3 linked regions of the Saccharomyces cerevisiae S288C genome follow. Changing the gene in region 1 together with any one later gene gives a genetic interaction. Each region holds a gene or a part of one and is shown in the gene's direction. Other genes may lie near its edges.

Region 1 (4,449 bases):
TGCGTGAGTTACTAGATTCCCTACAAGTAGATGAAGCTACCAACACACGACTTCAATCAAACAGGCCTCGAAAGCTGGGGAGGGTTGGTCTACAATTATTCATGGATTGCATTCAGGACAACTTAACAGCAACTTCAACATCTTTGACATGCTCTTTACTGGAGCACTATTTCAAGTATCCCGAAAAAGAAGTGACCAATGGGATCAAGGCCGGATTACGATATATCAGAGATTTTCTTGCGAAGAACAAGATTATAGTGAAAAGTCAAAACGATGTTGATGCTCTGGTCGAGCAATTGACTATGTCCTCCTCAGACAGCCAAAGCATCAAAAGGGTTTTGAAAGCCATTAATTATGAATTGTTTTCGGATGACATTGTGCGGGTCATAAACGGCAACAAAACTTACGATGAGGTTGATGTATCCAAGGGTTGGAAATATCCAGCTGGTATTTTAGATAGTAATGAAGCCTATTTAAGGTCCCTGGAGTTGCCTACTAAGAAATTAGTTTCCATTGATAAAGATATGCTAGTTCTTATGTATGATGGGACGTTACGAGACGCTAATAAAATTCTACCCACGATAACGTATGCAAGAAAGTTGAGAAAATCTGTTCTCTTAATCGTTAACGGAGATTGCACAGGTGATGCATTAACATCCGTTACAATTAACAATAACAGAAACAAGAGAGAAAATAATGAAAGCCGAATAGTGGTTTTGAAGTACTCTAAAAAGGCGAACAATGACTTAGCGCCACAGGAGAATCTTGATTTTATAAAGTTCTTACGGTTGCCTTGCGGATATGACAGCATCTACTCACCAGAATATAGTCCTTTAGTGCCAAGCAAAATGTGTGCGGATAAATATTACGGCAGTATCGAATCCATAAAAGCGACCACAGGGGAGGCATTCTTATATAACTCCATTGATGCTGAAGCGATTCCAAATAAAGTTCCGAAATCCTTCCTCCAAAATACGGTCACTTTAAGCATTGGTGGACATAACGAAATCGAAATCGACAGAAGAAGAAATGCAATAGATAATTGCTTAAATAACGTCCTATGTCATGGGCTGGCCAAAGGTTTCATCCCAGGTTACGGCATCTCCCTACTGAAGGCAATTCCAGGTTTGAATGAACTGAAAGCAAATGAACCCAATTTCATGACTAAGGTAGGCATCAATGCTGTTTTATCAGCAGTTATTCTCCCATCAGAAGTGGCGTTTAAGAATGCATATGGGTACAACTATTATGAGATCAATAGCCTGATAGCAGGCGCTATAAACGAAAAATCGTTTCCAATGGCCAAGTTTTCTCCAAATTCAGAACCGGTGAACACAGTAAAGGATGGAAACTTGGAGCCATGGAGCAAAATGGATTCTTGTTTAGCCGGTGTAGAAACGTTCATTGAATTACTTACAAGCTGTAATACAATTATCACATGTGTATACAAAAAGCCTGAACGGCACAAAGCCTAGATAAAGCCCTTACATACTTTTAAATAGTCAGAATGAGTCATTGTAAATAGATATTGCCACGGCGCTGCCTTTTATCACTTTTACCTCTTCGTAAATATCTATTATTCCTGCTCAATTTCTCATATGCGGCTTCGGAAAAACTCGGGTTTTTCCACGCCTCAGCAGTAACTCCATCTACCTTTGGGGATTTGAACCATCTCATTCCAGTTTTGGATAACTGCGATTAGATTAAAATATTAAAAGATTATCGATTAGATAAGATAGAAACCAACAAAATTTGTTGTAATAGCTGTGTCCTTGTATCCTTAAAAGAAAACAGGGTTGAAGGCATATGTATTCACATCTTTCTAACTTGTTAACGTCTATGCTAGGACCGAAGTCAGAAAGCGATAAACATGCAAGCCCAAGGTTCACAATCGAATGTAGGGTCTTTGAGGAGTAATTGCTCTGACAATTCACTACCGAACAATCATGTTATGATGCACTGCGATGAAAGCAGCGGCAGCCCGCACAGCGAGCACAACGATTATAGTTACGAAAAGACCAATCTGGAAAGTACGGCATCAAATAGTCGTGAACACAGAGACAACCAGCTAAGTAGGTTGAAGAGTGAGGAATACGTTGTTCCAAAGAATCAACGTAGGGGACTATTGCCTCAACTCGCCATTATACCGGAGTTCAAGGATGCCAGAGATTATCCACCGATGATGAAAAAGATGATTGTCTTCTTGATTGCGTTTTCCTCCATGATGGGCCCCATGGGCACATCTATCATTTTTCCAGCGATCAACTCAATCACAACAGAATTTAAAACATCAGTGATTATGGTAAACGTTTCAATTGGTGTGTACCTTTTAAGTCTTGGTGTTTTCCCATTGTGGTGGTCTTCTCTATCCGAGCTAGAGGGCAGAAGAACTACTTACATAACTTCATTTGCATTATTGTTTGCATTTAATATCGGGTCTGCTCTAGCTCCTGATATCAACTCATTTATTGCCTTGAGAATGCTCTGTGGGGCTGCTTCTGCCAGTGTTCAAAGTGTAGGTGCTGGAACAGTGGCTGATTTATATATTAGCGAAGATAGAGGTAAAAATTTGAGTTATTACTATTTGGGTCCACTACTGGCGCCGCTACTATCTCCAATTTTTGGATCTTTGTTAGTGAATCGCTGGCCCTGGAGATCCACTCAATGGTTTATGGTTATTTTATCCGGATGTAATGTCATTCTTTTGACGGTGTTACTACCTGAAACATTAAGAAAACAAGATTCTAAAGGCGCTATCGCTCAAATTTTGGCTGAAAGACGTATTCAAGTAGACAATAACGAACGTGGAGAGATACAAGAAGATTATCAGAGGGGAGAAGATGAGACAGATCGAATTGAAAACCAAGTTGCCACATTATCTACTGAGAAGCATAACTACGTTGGAGAGGTAAGGGATCAAGACTCGCTAGATTTAGAAAGTCACTCTAGCCCCAATACTTATGATGGTCGAGCTGGAGAAACCCAATTGCAACGGATTTATACAGAGGCGAGTAGAAGTCTGTATGAATATCAGCTAGATGATAGCGGTATCGATGCAACAACAGCACAAGTTACGAGAATAAGATCAACAGATCCAAAGTTAGCGAGATCGATTCGAGAAAATAGTCTGAGAAAATTACAAACCAACCTGGAAGAGCAAGTCAAAAAAGTGCTATCCAGTAATGGAGGTGAAATCGCTCCTAAACAGGTATCAGCGGTGAGGAAGGTCTGGGACACCTTTTTTGTTTATTTTATCAAGCCTTTAAAATCATTGCACTTCCTAGAATATCCACCCGTGGCACTTGCAATAACATTTTCCGCAATTTCCTTTTCCACAGTATACTTTGTTAATATGACAGTTGAATATAAATATTCAAGGCCTCCTTACAACTTTAAACCATTATACATTGGTCTACTGTATATTCCGAATTCTGTAACATACTTTTTCGCCTCAATTTACGGTGGACGTTGGGTGGACATGCTTTTAAAAAGATACAAAGAGAAATATGGAATTCTTGCTCCTGAAGCTCGTATATCGTGGAATGTTGTTACATCTGTAATATCTTTCCCCATTGCGCTATTGATATTTGGCTGGTGCCTAGATAAAAAATGCCACTGGGTAACGCCACTAATTGGAACAGCCCTCTTTGGATATGCAGCTATGATGACAATTGGTGCTACCCTTTCCTATTTAGTCGATTCATTGCCGGGAAAGGGTGCCACCGGTGTTGCTTTGAATAATTTAATAAGGCAAATCTTGGCTGCAACCGCAGTCTTTGTCACCACACCCATGTTAAACGGTATGGGAACTGGGTGGGCTTTCACAATGCTGGCCTTTATCGTCTTGGGTGCTAGCAGTGTACTTATAATACTGAAAAAGCACGGTGATTACTGGAGAGAGAACTACGATTTACAAAAATTGTACGACAAAATTGATTAATCATATCGGTTAATAAGACGGAAGCGTAAATATTTTCATTGTAGACTTTTCATAGGGTGGCACATACATAGTTTACTTTAGTTTATGGTAAATCGTTATTGTGCTAAAAGTATTATTAAATAATGTTCAACAACATCTCAAGAGGCGAAAAACTCATCAGAAAAAGAAATATAAACGCGAAAGATCATTAATGAACACTAGCCAACAAAAAAAAAGGATATATCAGGTCCACTGGTATTGAGATTGCTAGCGAGGTCAATAAGCTGATGCTGCATCAAAAAATAGCTCATAAAGTTCGAAAAGTCGTCGTCCCAGGTATTTCCTTATTGATTTTCTTCCAGGGATGCCTTATTCTTTTGTTTCTCCAACTCACCTATAAGACTCTTTACTGTAGAAATGATATAAGGAAACAAATTGGTCTCAATAAAACCAAAAGATTATTTATTGTCTTGGTATCATCCATTTTGCATGTTGTCGCACCATCTGCAGTGAGAATTACCACTGAAAAT
Region 2 (4,713 bases), on another chromosome or scaffold:
AATCGACTGTTCCGTGCAATAACTCTGATTTTTCGTTCAAATCACTTCGTTGCCCATTGGGACCCATGGGCGCAAAATGCTCACCTGGAACTTGCATCTTAACTCTACAAATATTACAAATAACACTTGAATCATAAGTGAACTGAAATTTAGGATTAGCATACGCACGACAACGTCTACAACGCAAAGGCGTACCATCCATTGGTAATGGAATTGTGGGAACTTCTGCATCATTCGGTGTCAAAGTGGAAAATGGTTGGATGGTTAATCCAAGTGGTAGCTTCGTGGCGGCTCTCAAGTGTTCACTTTCGGGGATGTTGTACATGGATAAACTCATCAAGTGCGGATCACATGAACCTTGGTCAACACAATAAAACTGGGTGGTCGGCAAGGGCGGAACAGAATCTCTACAAGTTTCGAAAGATCGTTGTAAATATTGAGCTTGATCTTCAAATCTTTGAGTTGGAACAATGTGAGATGTAGGTTGAGGCGCTGTCATATCAAGCATAGATTGACCATATGGCGAGGAGGCCTCACTCGCACCGAATCGCTCTTGACTCACCATTACAGGCGTGGACATAACGGAACCCGAACCGTTGTTGAAGCCACCAAATTGCTTAGGGGTAAAGGCTTGAGGTTGTTGAAAACCATCCTGCTGATTCAATTGGGGTGTAGTGTAGGGTGAATTGCCCAAAGTAGGAACAGTGCCCGAGGAAAAGTTATGATATGCTCTGTGAGGTCTTCTACTTTTTTTGGAAGATGCTCCGCCCGTATGCACAGTAGATTCATCAAGAGAGAGCGCTGAAACACTAGCTGCCAAAATATTCTGCTGAGACATGATGGTCCAATATTCTTCTGCAAATGGCCTCCTTAGTAACCCTCAAAATTACTAATTTCTTCAGTTGCAAGCTCCGATTTGGTTGAATCAGACCTAAGTTGTTACAGCGTACGTGTTTTTTTTATTTATTTATTTTCTAACATTTTTCTCTTTGGTTTTTCCAGTTTGATCGTTCCCACGTTGAGACGAAACGAAGGAAAAAAAAGAACATTTTTTTCGCATTGTGCACGGAAGGCTTCACCTTCAATAGGGCAAACAGAAGGACGAGCTGCATCACTTTTAGCCGCCACTAATCAACTCCTTCAGATAGATCGCCAGAACGCAAATAAGTGAAATTTGAAGATCAACTTGAATCAAAAAGCCAAAACTAAGAATTGTACGCTACTCTGCCAGACAATATTTTACGGACACGCGCATTTCAAGACAAAGCCATAATTCATGCCTTTTCAACTAGCATCTGGACGCCGCTGAGATCATAGGAACAAACAAAACGCACGAAAATAGCTAACGCACGTATCGAATACCAAATCAGTCTGCATTTATTGTACCCTCAAATTACAAATTCAACCAACAATTGTTCAAAAGACCACCTTGAATCTTGTGTTTCCTAATTTGGTAAGTGATCACGTGGTCAGACAGTTTTCCAGGTCAAACTGAAAAAAAAGCTCAAGAACCATTTTTCTTTAATAGCCTTTTTTAGTTGTATTCTAATAAACAACACCAACAAAATCGGAGGTATCACACGTAATTACATAAAGAAGATTAAATTCAGAGAAGATCTATCACACGATATCTCCATAGTTACAAAGAATACCGCATTTTGCCGATGTCACTCACTGAGCAGATCGAGCAATTCGCCAGTAGGTTTCGCGATGATGATGCCACTCTACAATCGAGATATTCCACTCTATCGGAATTGTACGACATAATGGAATTACTGAATTCTCCTGAGGATTACCATTTTTTCTTACAAGCTGTGATACCTTTACTTCTAAACCAGCTAAAGGAAGTTCCTATTTCATATGATGCGCATTCACCGGAACAAAAGTTGAGAAACTCTATGCTTGATATTTTCAACAGGTGTCTCATGAACCAAACCTTTCAACCCTACGCAATGGAAGTGCTCGAGTTTTTACTTTCAGTACTACCAAAGGAAAACGAAGAAAATGGGATATTATGTATGAAAGTGCTGACGACACTTTTCAAATCATTCAAATCAATACTACAGGACAAACTCGACTCCTTCATACGAATAATTATTCAGATTTATAAAAATACACCAAACCTTATAAACCAGACGTTTTATGAAGCCGGGAAAGCAGAACAGGGTGATTTGGATTCACCAAAAGAACCACAGGCAGATGAACTTCTCGATGAATTCTCCAAAAATGATGAAGAAAAGGACTTTCCATCGAAACAATCATCCACGGAGCCAAGGTTTGAAAACTCTACCTCATCAAACGGGTTGAGGTCATCTATGTTTTCCTTTAAAATCCTTTCTGAATGCCCTATTACAATGGTCACTTTATATTCGTCTTACAAGCAGTTGACTAGCACCTCGCTTCCGGAATTCACTCCTCTTATTATGAATCTATTGAATATACAAATTAAACAACAACAGGAAGCGAGAGAACAGGCGGAATCACGGGGAGAACATTTCACTTCTATATCGACGGAGATTATCAACAGACCGGCTTACTGTGATTTTATATTAGCCCAGATCAAGGCCACGTCTTTCTTGGCTTACGTATTCATTAGAGGATACGCTCCTGAATTTTTGCAGGATTATGTGAATTTTGTTCCTGATTTAATCATAAGGCTTTTACAAGACTGCCCTTCTGAACTATCATCTGCTAGGAAGGAACTTTTGCATGCCACTAGACACATTCTATCTACAAACTACAAAAAGCTCTTTTTACCCAAATTGGACTATCTGTTTGACGAACGTATACTTATTGGTAACGGTTTTACTATGCATGAAACATTAAGGCCCCTGGCTTATAGTACTGTGGCAGATTTCATTCATAATATAAGATCTGAATTACAACTAAGTGAAATTGAAAAAACAATAAAGATTTACACTGGATATCTATTGGATGAGTCATTAGCCTTAACTGTACAAATCATGAGTGCAAAATTGCTGCTTAATTTAGTTGAAAGAATATTAAAATTGGGAAAGGAGAACCCACAAGAGGCCCCTAGAGCAAAGAAATTGTTAATGATAATCATTGACTCATATATGAATAGATTTAAAACCTTAAACAGACAGTACGATACAATAATGAAGTACTATGGAAGATACGAAACGCATAAGAAGGAGAAAGCAGAAAAGCTCAAAAACTCTATACAGGATAATGACAAAGAGAGTGAGGAATTTATGAGGAAGGTACTGGAACCATCCGATGACGACCATTTGATGCCACAGCCTAAAAAAGAAGATATCAATGATAGTCCCGATGTTGAAATGACAGAATCTGACAAAGTGGTGAAGAATGACGTTGAAATGTTTGACATAAAAAACTACGCACCTATATTATTACTACCCACACCAACAAATGATCCCATCAAGGATGCTTTTTACTTATACAGAACTTTAATGTCTTTCTTAAAAACAATAATTCATGACTTAAAAGTCTTTAACCCACCTCCTAACGAATATACGGTTGCTAATCCTAAATTGTGGGCTTCTGTTTCTAGAGTTTTTTCATATGAGGAAGTCATTGTTTTCAAGGATTTATTTCACGAATGTATTATTGGTTTGAAATTTTTTAAAGATCATAATGAAAAATTATCTCCAGAAACAACAAAAAAACATTTTGATATATCAATGCCCAGCCTACCGGTCTCAGCCACCAAAGATGCTCGTGAGTTAATGGACTATTTGGCATTTATGTTTATGCAGATGGATAATGCCACTTTTAATGAAATAATTGAACAGGAACTGCCATTTGTCTATGAAAGAATGCTGGAGGATTCTGGGCTGCTACATGTCGCGCAATCCTTTTTAACAAGTGAAATAACCTCCCCAAATTTTGCTGGCATCCTTTTAAGATTCTTGAAAGGGAAATTGAAAGATTTAGGAAACGTTGATTTTAACACTTCTAATGTCCTAATACGACTTTTCAAATTGTCCTTTATGTCCGTCAATCTTTTCCCCAATATCAATGAGGTTGTTCTTCTTCCACACTTAAACGATCTAATTCTAAACTCCCTGAAATACTCAACTACAGCAGAAGAGCCTCTAGTATACTTTTATCTTATTAGAACTCTTTTTAGAAGTATAGGTGGGGGCAGATTTGAAAACTTATATAGATCGATTAAGCCCATACTACAGGTGCTATTACAATCTTTAAACCAAATGATACTTACTGCACGATTGCCCCACGAGAGAGAACTTTATGTGGAATTATGCATCACTGTACCAGTTCGGTTAAGTGTGCTTGCTCCTTATTTGCCATTTTTGATGAAACCATTGGTATTTGCATTACAGCAATATCCTGATCTCGTTTCGCAGGGTTTAAGGACCTTAGAATTATGTATTGATAATTTGACCGCCGAGTATTTTGATCCTATAATCGAACCGGTAATCGATGACGTTTCGAAGGCCTTGTTTAACCTTCTGCAACCTCAACCATTTAATCATGCTATCAGCCACAACGTAGTCAGAATACTGGGCAAATTAGGAGGTAGAAATCGTCAATTTTTAAAGCCACCAACGGACCTCACGGAAAAAACGGAACTAGACATTGATGCGATAGCAGATTTCAAAATCAATGGTATGCCGGAAGATGTACCGCTTTCTGTAACGCCAGGAATCCAGTCCGCTTTGAATATATTGCAAAGCTACAAAAGTGATATTCACTACAGGAAGAGTG
Region 3 (3,732 bases), on another chromosome or scaffold:
AGTTCAGTTTCCATGCATCATTCAAGATTTTTCCCTTCATTAAATTTTTATTATTTTTGGCAATGATTTTACAGTAACCACCCATTAATATGGCAGAATTATCTGTAGGAATGAAACAATGACCCGATCTAGCGTCAGGTTTGCTGTTTGTCTCCAATTTGGTCCATTTGTAGGTTGAGATATCAAAACACCACAAATCATTTAGGTAAGAAGTTTGACCATTCCCCAAATCTCTAAATCCACCAAATAATATGAAATAGTTTTTCCAAGCAATAATTCTATGACCTGATCTGGCGCTGGGTGAAGAGTCTCTACCGCCAAACTCCAACTTAGTGAATTTCCTTTCAACGCAGTCAAACAGCCATGTATCAGAATAGTGGTAGAATTTAGATTGTTTTGGGGACGAAAATTCACCACCGTGTAACAGTGCTATTCCGGAAGGATGCACAGCGACAGCGGCACTGGATCTGGGCAAAGGTGCATTTTGCGAAACGTATTTTTTCCAAGAGTTGTTCTTTATGGAGTATGAATACAAATCATTATAGAAATGTGTTAGTTTGGTTTCTGGATCTGTAAATTCACCACCGAAAATGAACAATTCATGTTTATTGTGTTGCGGATTTGCAAACATCAACGGATGAGTACGACAAGAGGGTTTTTCCACAGAAGTGATGTCTACATGCTCTAATTCAATTTGCTTTTTGCTAAAGCTAGAGAGAATTTCATCGAGATCTTGATCACTTTCATCATCTTCTTCGCCGTTTAAAGACTTATTCTTGTTCTTCTGAAACTTTTTCTCCTGCTTTTTTTGGTTTTTCTGATTCTTCAGTTCAGCACGTGCCTTTTTGGCCTCTTTATCCTTCTTATTCTTCTTTGCCATTAATCACTTCTACGAGTCTAGTAGATCTCTTCTCCTTCCTATAAGTGGTTAATGTATTCTTCGAGAAGCTCATCATTTTTTTTTTTCATTTTTTTTTTTTTTTTCAGTTTTCTACAATTTCATCAAATCAATGGTTAAACCGGGCAGAAAAACTACCAAGCGTTACTTTTACTGATGTTAGTACTACTACCGCAGTTATTGCGACTACTACATTAACTATAACTATACAAGAAAAAAAGTAAAGAGGGCTCGTAAAGCAAAGCTTGGTATCTCCTACATAGTCAATACATAGTAGTGAGTCGCCTATAGCCATTCTGTAATGCCATTTGTTAAGACGTGTCCTTAAACCCTTCCGAATCGCCGCGGGCGACATCATAATGTCAGTACCTAATAATGGTTATTATTCGTACCCTGTGGTTAGAGAGCTATGGAAGCTAGCAGTAAATGTCTCTAGTTCTTGCTATCACTACCATATTGGAGAGGCTTCAGGCCCCTCCCCTGAGCCGATCCTCGGAATGACTACCCCGATTCCCGGAATGGGCGTTCGATGATTGGCTCTTTCCTGTAAAGCCTTTTTGCGTTTCTTATAGGCTATATATAATCTTCATCACTGTTGTAGACGTTAAACAAGCATCCAACAGGAGGCCGGACCGAACACACGGGGGAGTGACTCTAGCTCTTTCTTCTGGGATATTCATATCGTTTCTCCATTACATACAGTCATTTTTTTGCATTTTTAAATTCGTGACTTTTAGTACTGCAGCTGTTTTTTTTCTCACGTCAAGAAATTCCATAAAGTCTAACTATTAAACGGATAAGAGATACAATCATGTTGAGATTTACCAATTGTAGTTGCAAGACTTTCGTAAAATCGTCATATAAGCTTAATATAAGAAGAATGAACTCCTCGTTCAGAACTGAAACCGATGCATTTGGTGAGATACACGTGCCTGCTGATAAGTACTGGGGTGCCCAAACTCAAAGATCCTTTCAAAACTTCAAGATTGGTGGCGCTCGTGAAAGAATGCCATTGCCTTTGGTGCATGCATTTGGTGTTTTGAAGAAATCTGCCGCGATTGTGAATGAGTCTCTGGGGGGATTGGATCCCAAGATCTCCAAGGCTATTCAACAGGCCGCTGACGAAGTGGCTTCTGGTAAGCTAGACGACCACTTTCCATTGGTTGTTTTCCAAACGGGTTCCGGTACCCAGTCTAACATGAATGCTAATGAAGTTATTTCCAATCGTGCCATTGAGATCCTAGGAGGCAAGATTGGATCTAAACAAGTCCATCCAAACAATCATTGCAACCAATCTCAATCATCCAATGATACTTTCCCCACTGTCATGCATATCGCTGCCAGTTTGCAAATTCAAAACGAGTTGATACCTGAGTTGACCAATTTAAAGAACGCCCTTGAAGCCAAATCCAAGGAATTTGACCATATTGTGAAGATCGGTAGAACACACTTGCAAGATGCCACGCCTTTGACACTAGGTCAAGAGTTTTCCGGTTACGTGCAACAAGTTGAGAACGGTATCCAAAGAGTGGCACATTCTTTGAAAACATTGAGTTTCCTGGCACAAGGTGGTACTGCCGTTGGTACAGGGTTGAACACCAAGCCCGGATTCGATGTCAAGATAGCCGAGCAAATTTCCAAAGAAACTGGACTAAAGTTTCAAACCGCCCCTAATAAGTTCGAGGCTTTGGCTGCTCACGACGCCATTGTCGAATGTAGCGGTGCTCTAAACACCCTTGCTTGTTCTCTTTTCAAAATAGCGCAAGATATAAGATACTTAGGGTCCGGGCCACGTTGCGGCTACCATGAACTAATGCTGCCAGAGAATGAACCAGGTTCCTCAATCATGCCTGGTAAAGTTAACCCAACCCAAAACGAGGCATTGACTCAAGTGTGTGTGCAAGTCATGGGTAACAATGCAGCTATCACGTTTGCCGGCTCTCAAGGTCAATTCGAGTTAAATGTCTTCAAGCCAGTCATGATCGCCAATCTATTGAATTCGATCAGGTTAATTACTGATGCCGCATATTCATTTAGAGTGCACTGTGTTGAAGGTATCAAAGCCAATGAGCCTCGTATTCATGAGTTGTTGACTAAATCTTTAATGTTAGTCACCGCTTTGAACCCTAAGATCGGTTATGATGCCGCTTCCAAGGTCGCCAAGAATGCTCATAAGAAGGGCATTACCTTGAAGGAAAGTGCATTGGAATTGGGTGTATTGACTGAAAAGGAATTTGATGAATGGGTTGTTCCTGAACACATGCTAGGTCCTAAATAAACGAGCTAAATACCTAATAATATACAAGTTTTTTATGTCTTATTATATGAAGGAAAATAAGGAAGTGGAGAGAATTTGTGATTCAGCAATGGTCCCTCCGCTAAGGTCCCGCCTCTGGCCAGTTATGTCAGAAGAGGAGCATAGGCATACATTCCATTTTTGATGGCTTAATGGGGCCCATAAATTTACATCACTACATTATTATTCCTATACAAGTTATAATAAAATAGTTCATAAATGAATATTTTGCGTCATTTTTTAATTTCTTGTCGTCGGGTAAGGGACCTAGTATTACCCGCATCACGGAAAGGGGAATTTTCAGAAATGATAACGAATAAGAGAGTACACCAGAAGAGCAAATCTCTTTAAGAAGTTTAGCAGCAAATATCGGTTTAAAAACAAACAAAAGCAAAGGAAAAGAACTACTAAATCTTCGAGGACTTTCCCAATTTTTAAAACGCTGAAATTGTATTAGAAGAGAATAACTGTCTAAAAAGAGCATGTTTGCATCCGCTGGACAACAACACCCTCAAATTGTTCCTAAGGAAGAGGAATC

Evidence for each region.
Region 2: mutations in QDR3 (region 1) and TRA1 impair growth when combined (synthetic growth defect), as found in Saccharomyces cerevisiae (one study listed by BioGRID).
Region 3: mutations in QDR3 (region 1) and FUM1 together harm fitness more than expected from each alone (negative genetic interaction), as found in Saccharomyces cerevisiae (3 studies listed by BioGRID).

What each region holds. Positions count from the first base shown.
Region 1 is NC_001134.8:321,367-325,815, reverse strand, and holds QDR3 (Qdr3p), read left to right. Parts: upstream 1-1,870; coding exon 1,871-3,940; downstream 3,941-4,449. Other genes in the region: TCM62 (Tcm62p), read left to right, coding at 1-1,475; CST26 (putative acyltransferase), read left to right, coding at 4,207-4,449. UniProt on the Saccharomyces cerevisiae protein: Multidrug resistance transporter involved in resistance and adaptation to quinidine and to the herbicide barban (4-chloro-2-butynyl [3-chlorophenyl] carbamate).
Region 2 is NC_001140.6:301,097-305,809, forward strand, and holds the start of TRA1 (histone acetyltransferase TRA1), read left to right. Parts: upstream 1-1,664; coding exon 1,665-4,713. Other genes in the region: SFB3 (Sfb3p), read right to left, coding at 1-838. UniProt on the Saccharomyces cerevisiae protein: Essential scaffold subunit of the transcription coactivator SAGA complex. SAGA acts as a general cofactor required for essentially all RNA polymerase II transcription.
Region 3 is NC_001148.4:45,627-49,358, forward strand, and holds FUM1 (fumarase FUM1), read left to right. Parts: upstream 1-1,709; coding exon 1,710-3,176; downstream 3,177-3,732. Other genes in the region: KEL3 (Kel3p), read right to left, coding at 1-880; YPL261C (uncharacterized protein), read right to left, coding at 3,370-3,678; CUB1 (Cub1p), read left to right, coding at 3,677-3,732. UniProt on the Saccharomyces cerevisiae protein: Catalyzes the reversible stereospecific interconversion of fumarate to L-malate.